2 linked regions of the Anolis sagrei genome follow. The protein of the gene in region 1 interacts with the protein of each later gene in a pairwise test. Links are inferred from orthologs where the notes say so. Each region holds a gene or a part of one and is shown in the gene's direction. Other genes may lie near its edges.

Evidence for each region. The genes of interacting proteins can lie anywhere in the genome.
Region 2: the proteins of FOSL2 (region 1) and DDIT3 interact in binary tests that used the Homo sapiens proteins (3 or more experiments, as listed by UniProt). The two-hybrid records come from large-scale screens. The link is inferred for Anolis sagrei from reciprocal best matches to the Homo sapiens genes FOSL2 and DDIT3.

The regions. Positions count from the first base shown.
Region 1 is NC_090021.1:43,099,411-43,106,484, reverse strand, and holds the start of FOSL2 (fos-related antigen 2), read left to right. Parts: upstream 1-4,071; 5' UTR 4,072-4,711; coding exon 4,712-4,810; intron 4,811-7,074.
Region 2 is NC_090022.1:185,996,849-186,004,802, reverse strand, and holds the start of DDIT3 (DNA damage-inducible transcript 3 protein), read left to right. Parts: upstream 1-4,940; 5' UTR 4,941-5,454; intron 5,455-7,954. UniProt on the Homo sapiens protein: Multifunctional transcription factor in endoplasmic reticulum (ER) stress response. Plays an essential role in the response to a wide variety of cell stresses and induces cell cycle arrest and apoptosis in response to ER stress.

The DNA.
Region 1 (7,074 bases):
GGGATACAGGGCTGTGTGGAAGGGCCTTGGGAGTTCAAGGATCTCATCCAGCAGTAGAAGTATTGGGAATTGTAGTTTAACAAGGTCTCCAGCATGCCGGTGTCCCACCAAACTACAACCTCCATGATTCCACAGCACAGAATCCTAGAGTTGGAAGAGACCTAATGGGCTAACCAGTGCAATCCCCTGGCAAGAAGCAGGAAAATCGCATTCAAAGCACTCCCAGTAGATGGCCATCCCGCCTCTGCTTAAAAACCTCCAGAGGAGAGTCCACTACCCTCCGAGGAATCAGCATAGTCCACTGGGGGCCTTTCCACACATCCCTACATGCCAGAATAGCAAGGCAGAAAATCCCACAATACCTGTTTTGAACTGGGTTATCTGAGAGCCCTTTCACATAACCCTATATCCCAGAATATCTGAGTGTGGACTCAGATAGCCCAATTCAAAGTAGATACCGTGGGATTTTCTGCCTTGATATTCTGGGATATAGGGCTGTGTGGAAGGGCCCTGGGAGTTCAAGGATCCCACCGAGCAGCAGAAACATTGGGAATTATAGTTTGACAAGGTCTCCAGAGCAGCGGTGCCCTGCAAAACTGCAACCCCCACAATTCTACAGCATAGAATTATAGAGTTGGAAGAGACCTTGTGGGTCATCCAGTCCAACCCCCTGCCGAGAAGCAGGAAAATCGCATTCAAAGCACCCCCGACAGATGGCCATCCAGCCTCTGTTTAATAGCCTCCAAAGAAGGAGCCTCCACCACACTTCGGGGTAGAGAGTTCCACTGCTGAACAGCTCTCACAGTTAGGAGGTTCTTCCTAATGTTCAGGTGTAATCTCCTTTCTTGTAATTTGAAACCATTGTTCCTCGTCCTAGTCTCCAGGGCAGCAGAAAACAAGCCTGCTCCCTCCTCCCTATGACTTCCCCTCATATATTTATACATGGCCATCATGTCTCCTCTCAGCCTTCTCTTCTTCAGGCTAAACATGCCCAGCACTTTAAGCTGCTCCTCATAGGACTTGTTCTCCAGACCCCTGATCATTTTAGTGGCCCTTCTCTGAACACATTCCTGGTTATCAACATCTCCCTTCAATTGCGGTGCCCAAAACTGGACACAGTATTCCAGGTGTGGTCTGACCAAGGCAGAATATAGCCCTTCCTGTAGTTTTTGCCAGTTGCTTGAGAGTTCTGGTTAATTAGAGTCCACTATAGAACTATATTGTCAGATTATTATTATTATTCCATTATGTTCTTCCCCTAAAGGAGATTTAAAGCAGCTCAAACAACACTAAAAAGAATAAAATGTAAAACCTGCAAAATATAAGCACTAGGCTGCTATGAATTTTCCAGGCTGTATCGCCATGTTCCAGAAGCATCCTCTCCTGAAGTTTCGCACTCACATCTATGGCAGGCATGCTTAGAGGCCGAGATGTCTGTTGGAAAATAGGCAAGTGAGGTTAATATATCTGTTCAGGGTGGAAGAAAGAACTCTTGTCTGCTTGAGGCAAGTGTGAATGTTGCAATTGACCACTTTGATTAGCATTGAATGGCCTTGCAGCTTCAAAGCCTGCCTGGTTGCTGCCTGGGGGAATCCTTTATAAGAACTAAATTAGAAGTAAACATGGAACTGTTAACAATGACAGTGGTGCTTTCATGCTACAATGGAGAAGCGCCCTACAGTGTAGCTGCAGTTTAGGGCCCACCCTGGTATTAAAAAAAACCCTAGAGCTGGGTTGCTGTGAGTTCTCCAGACTGTATGTACATGTTCCAGAAGCTTTCTCTCCTGACTTTTCGCCTGCATCTATGACAGGCATCCTCGGAGGTTGTGCGGTCTTTTGGAAACTAGGCAAGTGGGGTTTATATTTCTGTGAAATGTCCAGGGTGGGAGAAGGAACTCTTGTCTGCTTGAGGCAAGTGTGAATGTTGTAACTGATCACGCTGATTAGCACTGAATAGCCAGAGGACCCCCAACCTGGTCACGCAATGGGTTAAGCCCTTGTGCCAACAGGACTGAAGACAGGTTGGAGGTTTGAATCCAGGGAAAGCACGGATAAGCTCCCTTTGTCAGCTCCAGCTCCCTATGTGGAGACATGAGAGAAGCCTCCCACAAGGATAGTAAAACATCGGCAAGGATGTGTCCCCTGGGCAACATCCTTGCAGGTGGCCAATTTTCTCATACCAGAAGTGACTTGCAGTTTCTGAAGTTGCTCCTGTTATGGAAAAAAAGCACTAAATAGCCTTGCAGCTTCAAAGCTTGGCTGCTTACTGCCCGAGGGAAACCTTTGTTGGGAGGTGATTCGTTGGCCTTGACTGTTTCTTGTCTGGAATTCCTCTGTTTTTGAATGTTTCAGACAAGAAACAACAGAGCTAGTTAGCACTTCCCAACAAAGGATTCCCCCAGGCAGGAAGCAGCCATACCTTGAAACTAATCAAGGTGGCCAATTGCAACATTCACACTTGCCTCAAACAGACAAGAGTTCTTTCTCCCACCCTGGACATTCCACAGATATATAAACCCCACTTGTTTTGTTGAAGGCTTTCATGGCCAGAATCACTGGGTGGTTGTAAGTTTTTGGGCTGTATGTCCATGTTCCAGAAGCATTCTCTCCTGACCTTTCACCTGCATCTTTGGCAGGCATCCTCAGAGGTTGAACATGGCCACACAGCCTGAAAAACTTACAACAACTCAAACCCCACTTGCCTAGTTTCCAACAGACCTCACAACCTCTGAGGATGCCTGCCATAGATGTGGGTGAGATGTCAGGAGAGAATGCTTCTGGAACATGGCCATACGGCCCAGAAAACTCACTGCAACCCAATTTTTGACTCTGGAAAATGAATCAATCAGAGCCAGCTAACACCTCCCAACAAAAGATTCCCCCAGGCAGAAAGCAGCCAGACCTTGAAGCTGAAAGACTATTCCATTCACTATTCCATTCACTATTCAAAATCTGGCTACCAGTATTAAAAAAACTCTAAAATTACTACAGCAAAACAGCAGAGAGGAAACAACCAGGCACATCTCAACACTTCTCAACAGAACATTGTCCCAGGCTCTGCCAGGCCTTCAAATGCTAATGAAGGTGGTCAGCTGAAACATTCACACCTAGCTTCAGCAGAGAGTCCTTTGCCCCACCCTGGTCATTCCACAGATATATAAACCCATTTCCCTACTTCCAACAGACCTCACTACCTCTGAGGATGCTTGCCATAGATGCAGGTGAAACGTCAGGAGAAATGCCTCTAGAACATGGCCCTATAGCCCGAAAAAACCTACAAGAACCTATTCTATTCACACTTGCCTCCAACGGACAAGAGTTCTTTCTCCCACCCTGGACATTCCACAGATAGATAGATAGATAGATAGATAGATATATCTGTGGAATGTCCAGTGTGTGTGTGTGTGTGTGTGTGTGTATACACACATACATACCCTGCTTGCCTAGTTTCCCACAGACCTCACAACCTATGAGGATGCCTGCCATAGATGCAGGCGAAACGTCAGGAGAGAATGCTTCAGGAACATGCCCAGGCAGCCCAGAAAACTCTCAGAAACCCACTGATTCCGGTCATGAAAGCCTTCGACAATAAACCCTAGAGATGGAAGAGACCACCACAAGGGCCCTTGACATGAATCGAGATCCAGCTTTGAAGGGAGGTGAAGCGGTTTCGGTCCGCTTTATGGGTGTTTTTGTGCCCCCTCCCCTCTCTCGCAGGGAATCCCTCGCGCGCCTGCCACGTCACTCTCGCCAAGGAAACCCGCGCTGGCGTCGCGCGACGCAAATGCCCATCTTTGGCCAGGAGGGCCTGCGACAATGGAAGAGACCAAAGTGTCCAAGTGTGGGGGTGGCGGGAGAGAAGGATGGGGCTCTCAGTCTGGACGAGACCATGCAAGCTCCGTGTCACTTCGGGGTGGGGCAGCGAGGGAGCAAATGGACTGCGCCGCTGGGCTGAAAGAGGCAGAATGGTTGCGCCCTCTCTCTCTCTCCTTTCCCCTCCTCTTCCCTCCCTTTTCCAAAAATGGGAGGTTCCGCGTTGCGTCAGAGAAGAGGGGGGCGTGGCCTCCAAAAAGCCTCCTGGCTTGACGTTTGGCGAATCCACATGGTCTTAGAAGAGGCGAGCTTCCGAGGCAGAGCTCGGAGGAAGGATGGCAGGAGCCCCGAGAGCCCGGGCTTGAACTCACCCCTGACTCACTTCGGGAAAAGGAGGAGAGGAAGAGGAGGGAAGGGGAGAGCAAGGCAGGAAGTCGGGAGAGAGAGAGAGAGAGATCTATCTAGTGCCTATCTATCTGTCTCTATAACTCAGAAGAGCATTGTTGTCAAAACCCAACAAATAACGCGCTTCCGATGTGAGGCTAGTTGAGTCACCTCGGAGCAGGAAGCCGGCACTTTTCTCCCGCTTTAATTATACAGGAGGCGAAGATCGCCCTTGATTTAAAATACAGGAAGCAGAGCGAGAGAGAGAATAGAAGGAAGGAAGGGAGGGAGGGAAAGAAGCCTTTCAAAAAGCAACCGCATCTCCATGAATTAGTTCTAAGGGTTGGGGATAGGCTGGCATTGGGCTGTCTTTAAAGGGGAAGCACAAGGAAAGGGCTCTCCAAGGAGCCAAAGGGGAAGAGGGGGAGCCAAGGCTGAGCCTGGCCTTGGAGGGTCCGGGAAGAAGGGAAGGGAGTCGAGGCGGGGCCCGGGAAGGGGGGCGCCTCCTCGGACCATGTACCAGGACTTTCCCGGCAGCTTCGACACCTCCTCCCGGGGCAGCAGCGGGTCGCCAGGCCATCCGGACACCTATCCCGGCCTCGCCACGCAACAGGTAAGACCTTTGCCTTTCTTTTTTCTTCTTGCCTTCCTTTTCTTCTTCTTCCCTAATGTAAACTCCTTCCTTTCCTTCCTTCCTTCCTTCCTTCTTCCATCTTTCCTTCTTTCTTTCTTTCCTTCCTTCCTTCCTCCCTTCCTTCCTTCCTTCGTTCTTCAGTCTTGCTTTCCTTCCTTCCTTCTTCAGTCTTTCTTTCCTTCCTTCTTCGATCTTTCCTTCCTTCCTTCCTTTCTTTCTTCGGTCTTTCTTTCTTTCTTTCTTTCTTTACTTCCTTCTTTCCTTCCTTTTCTTTCTTTTCCTTCCTTCCTTCTTTCCTTTCATCCTTCCTTCCTTCCCTCGTCACTCTTTTCCTTCTTCCCGGTTCACTCTTGCCTTCCTTCCAACGTCACCCCTGCCTTCCTTCTATCTTCCTGTAGTTTTTGCCGGTTGCTTGAGAGTTCCAGCTGAGAGTCAACTGTAGAACTATATTGTAGATGATGATGATGATGATTATTGTATTGTCAAAGGATTTCATGGCCGGAATCACTGGGTTGTTGTGAGTTTTCCGGGCTGTATGGCCATGTTTCCAGAAGCATTCTCTCCTGACGTTTCGCCTGCATCTATGGGCGACCTCACAACCTCTGAGGATGCTTGCCATAGATGCAAGCAAAACATCTGGAGAGATTGCTTCCGGAACATGGCCCTACAGCAACTTATTATTATTATTAGTATTATTATTACATTCTTCGAGTTTCTGAGAGTTTTTTGGGCTGCCTGGCCATGTTCCTGAAGCATTCTCTCCTGACGTTTTGCCTGAATCTATAGCAGGCATCCTCAGAGGTTGTGAGGTCTGTGGGAAACTAGGCAAGTGAGGTTTATATATATCTGTGGAATGTCAAGGAGGCAAGTGTGGAATAGTCTTTCAGCTTCAAGGTCTGGCTGCCTGGGGGAATCTTTTGTTGGGAGGTGTTAGCTGGCCCTGATTGATTCATTTTCCAGAGTCAAAAATTGGGTTGCGGTGAGTTTTCCGGGCTGTATGGCCATGTTCCAGAAGCATTCTCTCCTGACATCTCACCCACATCTATGGCAGGCATCCTCAGAAGTTGTGAGGTCTGTTGGAAACTAGGAAAGTGAGGTTTATCAATCTGTGGAATGTCCAGGGTGGGAGAAAGAACTCTTGCCTGCTTGAGGCGAGTGTGAATGCTGCAATTGGCCACCTTGATTCACATTGAATAGCCTTGCAGCTTCAAATCTTGGCGGCTTCTTTCTTCCTTTTTCTTTCTTCCACCCCTCTTAAACCCTTTTCTTGCCTCTCTCCCTCTTAACTCCTTCTTTCGCCTTAACTCAATTTTTTCCTCTTCACTTCTTCCTTCCTTCCCTCTTAATTAACTCTTCCCAACTTCTTTCTTTCCTCTTAGCTAGTTTATTTGCTCTTCATTGTTGCTTTCTTTCCTTCTTAACCCCCTTTCCCCCACTTTCTTGCCTCTTAGCTTTGTTTCCAGATTCCCCCTTTAGTCCTTCCTTTTCCTCTTAACATCTTCTTCCCGCTTAACTCTTTCTTCCCTCTGCTTTCTTTCTTTCCTTCCTTCCTTTTCTTTCCTTCCTTCCCTCTGCTTTCTTTTCTTTCTTTCTTTCTTTTCTTTCTTTCTTTCTTTCTTTCTTTCTTTCTTTCTTTCCTCCCTCCCTCCCTCCTTCCCTTCCTTCCTTCCCACTTCACTTCCCTTTAGAGCAGGCATGGGCAAACTTCAGCCCTCTAGGTGTTTTGGACTTCAACTCCCACCACTCCTTTTAACACCTTCTTCCCACTTAACTCTTTCTTCCCTCTGCTTTCTTTCTTTCCTTCCTTCCTTCCTTCCTTCCTTCCTTCCTTCCTTCCTTCCCTCTGCTTTCTTTCTTTCTTTCTTTCTTTTCTTTCTTCCTTTCTTTCCTTTCCTTCCTTCCCTCTGCTTCTTTCTTTCTTTCTTTCTTTCTTTCTGTATATCCCTTCCTTCCTTCCTTCACCTTGGCTTCTTCCTTCCTTCCTTCCTTTCCTTCCTTCTCCTTGCTTTCTTTCTTCCCTTCCTTCCTTCCCTTTCCTTCCTTCTGCTATCTTTCTTTTCTTTCGTTCTTTCCTTCCTTCCTTTCCAATTCACTTCACTTCCTTTTAGAGCAGACATGGGCCAATTTGGGCCCTCCAGGTGTTTTGAACTCCAACTCCCACCATTCCTAACAGCCTCAGGCCCTCCCCCTCCCCCGCCCGCTTCAGCCGCTTAAGGGACCTGAGGCTATTAGGGATGGTGGGA
Region 2 (7,954 bases), on another chromosome or scaffold:
GATGTCTTCACTGTGTCTGGTTGTGATCCCCAGGTTGTGCCAGTCAGCTTTCGTATGATATTGTTTCTAGCACCCACTTTTTGCTTGATGTTCAGGCAGTGCTTCTTGTAGGTAAGAGCACGGTCCAGAGTTACTCCCAGGTATTTGGGTGGCTTCATGAGGTAAGGTCGCAACTGGCGCACGAGTTTGAGGCCCACATCATGGATACATTCAGGCTGCAGGAGAATCTTGCATATGTCTTGTAGAAGGCTTTCATGGCCAGAATCATTAGGTTGCTGTGAGTTTTCTGGGCTGTATGGCCATGTTCCAGAAGGATTCTCTCCTGAAATTTCGCCCACATCTGTGACAGGCATCCTCAGAGATTGGGAGGTCTGTTGGAAACAAGGAAGTGAGGTTTATATATCTGTGGAATGTCCAGGATAGGAGAAACAACTCTTGTCTGTTTGAGAATAAAGAGCAACACTCTAAAGGGGAATTCCAGAAAAGAATAAATTAGGGCCAGTTAACACCTCCCAACAAAGGATACCTGGGAGCAACCAGCCAGGCTTTGAAGCTGCAAAGCCATTAAATGCTAATCAAGGTGGCCAATTGTAACATTCACACATGCCTCAGAGAGAAATCAGAATCACTCCAAAATCCTGAATTGTTGATGGGTGGCTCAGACCCTTTCCACACTGCTATATAAAATCCACACAGAACTGGGTTATATGGTAGTGTGGACTCAAATAACCCAATTCAAAGCAAATACAGTGGATTATCTGCCTTGATATTATTCTGGGTTATATGGCTGTGTGGAAAGGCCAATGAATAATGACACCTTTGCTTTTTGATGGTTCAGTACCCACAAACTTTGCTTCATGAAAAGTATTGTGTAGAAAATTAAACTGAGGCTACATGTTTAAGGTGCATTTGAGACATACATGTATCTCGTGATTGGGCTTGGGTCCCAAGCATGGCATAGCTTTTTGGAAACCTATCAAATGACCTTGAGTGAGTCCCCATCTACACTGCCATGTAATCCAGTTTCTGAACCCAGATTATGTGCTTTGAACTGGATTATATGGCACTGTGGACTCAGCATGGAACTGTTATGTGGTGTTCCACAAGGTACCATTCTATCCCCAATGCTCTTTAATATTTACATGAAGCTTCTGGGAGAGATAATCTGTAGGAACAGGATAGGGTGTTATCGGTATACTGATGACACCCAAAAATATTTTTCCATGCCTTTAAAAACAGCTTTAGCTAAGAATAGCATGCCTCCCCTGAATGAATGCCTGGAGAGGTAATGGGCTGGATGAGGAAAAACAAACTGAAACTGAATCCAGCAAAACAGAGGTGCTTGCCATCAAAGATCCTGATCTGGGGGTGGGGAGGTGTCAACCAGTTCTGGATGGGGTTACACTCCCCTGAATTACTGTGTTCACAGCTCAAGAGTACTCCTGGATCTCTCTCTCCAAATGTCAGCCTAGGTAGATGCAATAGTCAGGAGTGCTCACTATCAGCTTCGGTTGAACCGCCAGCACCACCCCTTCCTAGATTTGGAGGACCTGAAGATGGTAGTGCACGCACTGGTAACCTCAAGGTTGGACTTCTGCAATGTACTTAACACTGGGTTACCCTTGTACCAAGTTTGGAAACTTCAACTGGTTCAAAATGCGGCAGCCAGGTTACGGATCATCTAGGAGTGTGCATATTACACCTATCCTAAAGTCACTCCACTGGCTGCCAATTCGTTTCCGGGCCAAGTATAAAGGTATGGTTTTGACCTTTAAAGCCCTACATGGTTTGGGTCCAGGTTACCTAAAGGATTGCCTTCTCCCATACAATCCGCCTTACACACTTTGGTCTTCTAGGGGGCGTCTGCTCCAACCAGCCAGAACCTGACTAGCGGCTGTCACTCAGGGGACCTTTTCATTGGCCGCCCCAAGATTGTGGAATGATCTGCCGGTAGAGCTCCAACAGCTAAATCTGCTTTTGGAATTTAAGGCACAAATGAAGACCTGTCTCTTCCGACAGGCCTTCCCAGACTGCCTTTAAACATAAATATGAATTTTAATGCATGCCCTTTGTTTAATTGGTATTGTGTTTTAATATGTATTTCATAGAGATACGTTTTGGTTCGTAACTGTTATGGAGGTAAGTTTTAGTGTGTGTGTATCTATAGTGTTTTGCTGTGCTTATGTATTTTAATTGTTTTGTAACCCGCCTTGAGCCATTAAGAGAGCTATGAAAAAATATTATTATTAATAATTGTAACAATTTAATTATTAATAGTCAAACAGAGGCTGGATGGCCATCTGTCAGGGGTGCTTTGAATGCAGTGTTCCTGCTTCTTGGCAGGGGGTTGGCCTGGATAGCCCACGAGATCTCCTCCAACTCAAAGATTCTATTATTCTTATTAAATAATCATATTCAAAGCAGATAATCTGGATTCCTATGGCCCTCCCACACAGCCTTATATCCCAGAATATCAAGGCAGAAAATCCCACATGATCTGAGTGTGGACTCTGATAACCCAGTTAAAAGCAGAGCCAACCTTAAGGAATGAGGCTACAAAGTGAAATCCACGACATGCGAGTGTGGAGAAGAGCAAACCACAGACCACCTGCTGCAATGCAACCTGAGCCCTGCCACATTCACAATGGAGGACCTTCTTGCAGCAACACCAGAGGCACTCCAATGGTCAAAGGACATTTAATAGAATACCAAGTCTGCAAACTTTGTGTTTTGTTTGTTTGTTTTTGATGCAATACAACTGTTTTGGTTTGTGGGATTTTTGGTTTGTTGGATTACTGTAATGCACTCTACGTGGGGCTGCCCTTGAAATCGGCCCAGAAATTTCAATTGGTACAACGGGTGGCAGCCAGGTTACTAACTGGTGCTTCTTACAGAGCAGTCAACCTTCCTGTTTAAGGAGCTCCACTGGCTGCCGTTCATTTTCCGGTCCTAATTCAAGGTGCAGGTTCTTACCTACAAAGCCCTGAACGGTTTGGGACCCACCTACCTGCGTGACTGCATTTCTGTGTACGAACCCACACGATCTCTTTGATCATCTGGAGAGCCCTGCTTGCGCTCCCACCTCCTTCGCAGGCACGATTGGTGAGGGGGAGGGCCTTCTCGGTGGTGGCCCCCCGACTCTGGAACTCATTCCCAAGGACCTCAGACATGCCCCAACTCTGGCAGTCTTTAGGAGGAGCCTGAAAACGTGGTTGTTCCAGTGTGCCTTCCCAGAATAAGGAAAACTCTCAGCAATATGCCCTCAAAATGCACTTTGCCACTGATTTAGGACTGATTGCGTTCCCTCATCTCTTTTTGAAAACCCTATCCCAGTTATATCTTACCTTGTTCATGCCCAGCATTATTTTTTAAATTTTAAATTATTACATTTGGCCCGGCCATTGGTTTTCAAATGCTTGCGTGTTACTGTTTATTGTTTATGTGATTTATATTAATTGGATTGTATTGTTTTTGTTATTGCTGTTGTTATTGATGTACTGTGGGCTTGGCCTCATGTAAGCCGCACGGAGTCCCTTGGAGAGATGGTAGCGGGGTATAAATAAAGATTATTATTATTATTATTATTATTATTATTATTATTTTCTGCCTTAATATTCTGGGATATAGGGCTGTGCAGAAGGGCCCAGAAACTGGATTATAAAGCAACTAGCTGTCCCCTGTCACGCGTTGCTGTGGCCCAGTCTGTTGATCTGGAAAATAATGAGAAAGTGCTGGTTTACAATATTTGTAATTTTTTTATGCTTGTGGGTACAGTATTTCTTGCTGTTTCTTTGTCAGTGTTGATGTGGACAGTGTCTGGTTTGCCCACCCAGGAACATGCAACATATCATTGTCCTTCTTTAAGGGTCCCTTTCAAATCTATGATACTAGATCTCTCTGTGTGTGAATCATATCTATCTATCTATCTATCTATCTATCTATCTATCTATCTATCTATATCTATGGCTGGATGGCTCTTTGTAAGGAGGACTTTGATTATGTTTTCTTGCCCTGATGAAGGGAGTTGGATTGGATAGCCTTAAGTATTTTCTGTTGGTCATGGGGTTCTGTGTGGGAAGTTTGCCTCGATTCTGTCATTTGTAGGGTTCAGAATGCTCTTTGATTGTAGGTGAACTGTGAATCCCAGTGACTACAACTATTTCCCCCAAACTCCATCTGTGTTCATATTTGGGTATATAGAGTGCTTGTGCCATGTTGGTTCAGATCCATCATCGTTTGAGTCCACAGTGCTCTCTGGATGTAGGTGAACTATAACTCCCAAATTCAAGGTCAATGCCCACCAAACCCTTTCAATATTTTCTGTTGGTCATGGGAGTCCTGTGTGCCAAGTTTGGTTCAATTCCATCGCTGGTGGGGTTCTGAATGCTCTTTGATTGTAGGTTAACTATAAATCCCAGCAATTACAACTCCCAAATGACAAAATCATAATTTTTGAGTGATGGTCACTCCTTTGGTGTGATTTCGTTCATTGGTTCTTTTGTTTTTAAGGTACTCATTATGCACAGAGAATTTATATATAGATAGATAAGATGTGGCTCCAGCATTAACCACATACAGTCTGCCCCTGAAAAACCTCTAATAAAGGGTGTCAAACTGCAATAACTTCATGGAGGCACACCACTACAAGCCATCTCCATGGGTTGTTGGATATGCAGGATCTGAGGAGGCAGGAGTGCTGCTCCCCCTCCCCAACGCAGCCACACTTTCCCCAGGGAGGCCTGGCCCTTTAACGCACAAGGTGGGGCGGGGCGTGACGTCATAAAGCCTCTCCGAAGGAAGGCCTCTCCTAACGTAGCTAGGCCTAGTCCCCCTTCAGTCGCGCTAACTGGGCCTCCAAACCGCGGAAACAGTGGGGTGGGGGAGGTAGGAGAAGCCACGAAGGTCCGTTCAAGCGAGTGTGGCGGGTGGCCAAGGTCAGGGCCCGGGCCTCGGGTTGCCAGGCCGTTGCATCACCCTCCTCGCATGACTCACCCCCTTCCAGACTCGTGACCCTGAAAGGGCGGGGAGAAAAAGGGAGGAGCTTGAGGAGAAGTCACTTCCGGGAGCGACGCGGCAGCTTCCACCTCACTCCCGCTGGGAGGAAGAAAAAAAAAAAGAGTCCAGGCGGAGGCGGGGCCAGAAGGCGACGGCGACGACGGCCATTGGATGAAAAGAAGCGGCGACGGTGATTGGTCCGGCGTGGCGCAAGAGTTGCGTCATGCGGCGCGCGCTCGAACGTCTACCCGGCCCCCGGAGCGAGAGGAGGCAGTTGGCATTTGGACGCCGGCAGAAGCGCACGGAAGGAGAGAATGAGCATCGAAGGGAGAATGAGCCAGAGCCAGCAGCAGAAGAGAGGCGGCATCACAGGCGAGAAGGAGATTCGCAGGAAGGTGCGGAGCGATGAAGGGAAAAGTCCTGGGGGCCCTGGCCTTCATGAACTCCTTCAGCTAAAGGGTGGGAAGGGCTTTTTTAGGCCTTTTATTTCTTCTCCTCTAAGAGCCCTTCCACACAGCATAATATCACAGAATACCTGCTTTGAACTGGGTCATCTGAGTCCACACTGCAACTCTAGGATTCTATTTATTTATCTGTCTGTCTCCTTCTCTGAAGGTCTTTAAGCAGGGGCTGGATGGCCATCTGTCAGGAGAGATTGAATTGTGTCTTCCTGCCTGAGTCCACACAGTTCAGAGCATAATATGGGATTTTATTCAGCTGTGTGGAAGGGGCCTGAGAGAAATAAAGGATTCCCCATGCTAAAACTGAGGGCCCTTCCACACAGCCCTCTATCCCAGAATATCAAGGCGGAAAATCCCACAATATCTTCTTTGAACTGGGTTATCTGAGTCCACATTGCCATATATTCCAGTTCAGAGCATAATGTGGGATTTTATTCAGCTGTGTGGAAGGGGCCTGAGAGAAATTCGTAAATAAAGGCGGTAATCAGGATTCAAACTGAGGGAAGGCTTTTGGGTGCATTCACACTGTAGCATTACTACTAATATATCATCATCATTATTGATATATAAACCAAATAATATAAATACTTTAATATATATTAATATAAATCATAACATATAAATAATATAAATGATGACATATAGGTTGGTAAAGGTTTTCCCCTGACATGCAGTCCGGTCGCGTCCGACTCTGGGATGTAGTGCTCATCTCCATTTCTAAGCCAAGGAGCCGGCATTGTCCATAGACACCTCCAAGGTCATGTGGCCGGCATAACTGCATGGAACACCGTTACTTTCCCGATGGAGCAATACCTATTGATCTCACATTTGCATGTTTTCGAACTGCTAGGTTGGCAGAAGCTGGGGCTGACAGCAGAAGCTCACACAGCTCCCAGGATTCGAGCCTGTGACCTTTCGGTCAACAAGCTCAGCACTTTAACCCACTGTGGCACCAGGGGCTCCTAAATAAATAATAATAATAAATATGACATATAAATAATAAGTACATAAATCACTATTAATAATATTGTGATATATTAATAATAAATCTACACTGTGAATGCACCCAAAGGCCCTCCAGGCCTGCCAGCCATTTGAATCCTGATATTATATTATATATATTACTAGCCATCCCCTGCCACGCGTTGCTGTGGCCCAGTCTGTTTGTATATATGTGGTTTTGCGCATGCGTTGTAATTTATTTTTTATTTTTGGCTTTTTAAGTCTCTTCCGCTGTGTTTTTCAATGTTTTTATGAGTGATGGTCACTTGTTGGCCTGATACTTGTATTGTGTTCAAATTTGGTGTCAATTCGCCCAGTGGCTTTTGAGTTAGGTTAATCCCACAGACAATTATGCTGGGGAAAATGGAAGGAAAAAGGAAGAGGGGCCAACCAAGGGCAAGATGGATGGATGACATCCTTGAAGTGACTGGATTGACCTTGAAGGAGCTGGGGGTGGGCTGGTCCATGAGGTCACAAAGAGTCGGAAACGACTGAACAAATGAACAACAAAATCCCACATTACATTTTTATTTATATAGATACAGTGTTATACATTATAATAAATTACAAATACCATTATTAATAATATATTCTAAGTACATTATATATAAGATAAATATATTATATTATTATAATTAATAATACTAAATGTTATCCACCTCTGTTATTTAATGTTATAATGTGTTATATATAACAAATAACATTATTATTAATAATATATTTATTGTATAATAAATAATATACATATTATACATAATAAAATTAATATATTTAATTATTATATATAATTAAATGTTGTTTGTTACCCGGCTCTCTTCACGGATTGATGCAGGGCACAAGATACATTGATGAAACAATTGTAAAAAAAAGTGCTAAAAATCATAGAGCAAAGATTAAAACACCAATGCTGATAAAATGTACAATTATAAGTTGGATAGTAATACAGCTCAACACTACTTTTAACTGTTATGGAATCAAGGCAGTTGTAGTTTGCCGAGGAACTGAGGCTATTTGGCAGAGAAGGTTAAAGTCCTTGTAAAACTACAGCTCTTATCTTTCCATAACACTGAGCCATGGCAATTAAAGAGGTATCAAATGGCAGTAGATGAATATATTCTGAGGACCCACATGAAACTGTGGGTCCTTTAGTTGCTTCAAGAGGGAATAGATAGGGCACAGCTTGGTTCTGTGGTTTGTAAAGACTCGGTGTTTCCTGCTCAGCTTTGCAGAGAAGAAGACCCTGCTAAGAGATCTAGGTGCACCTGTTCTGTAGAATTAATGCATCTTAACACCACTATAACTGCCATAGTTCAAGGTTATGAAATCCTGGGAGTAGGGGACACCAGTACTCTTTAACAAAGAAGTTGAAAGACCTTGGAAAATTGAAGCTCCCATGATTCTGTTGCCATTATACAACGGTGTCTGACTGCTTTATTTACACCTTCTATTGTGCTAAAGTAGCTGGCTCTGATGGTACACATCTTTTCCCAAAAAAT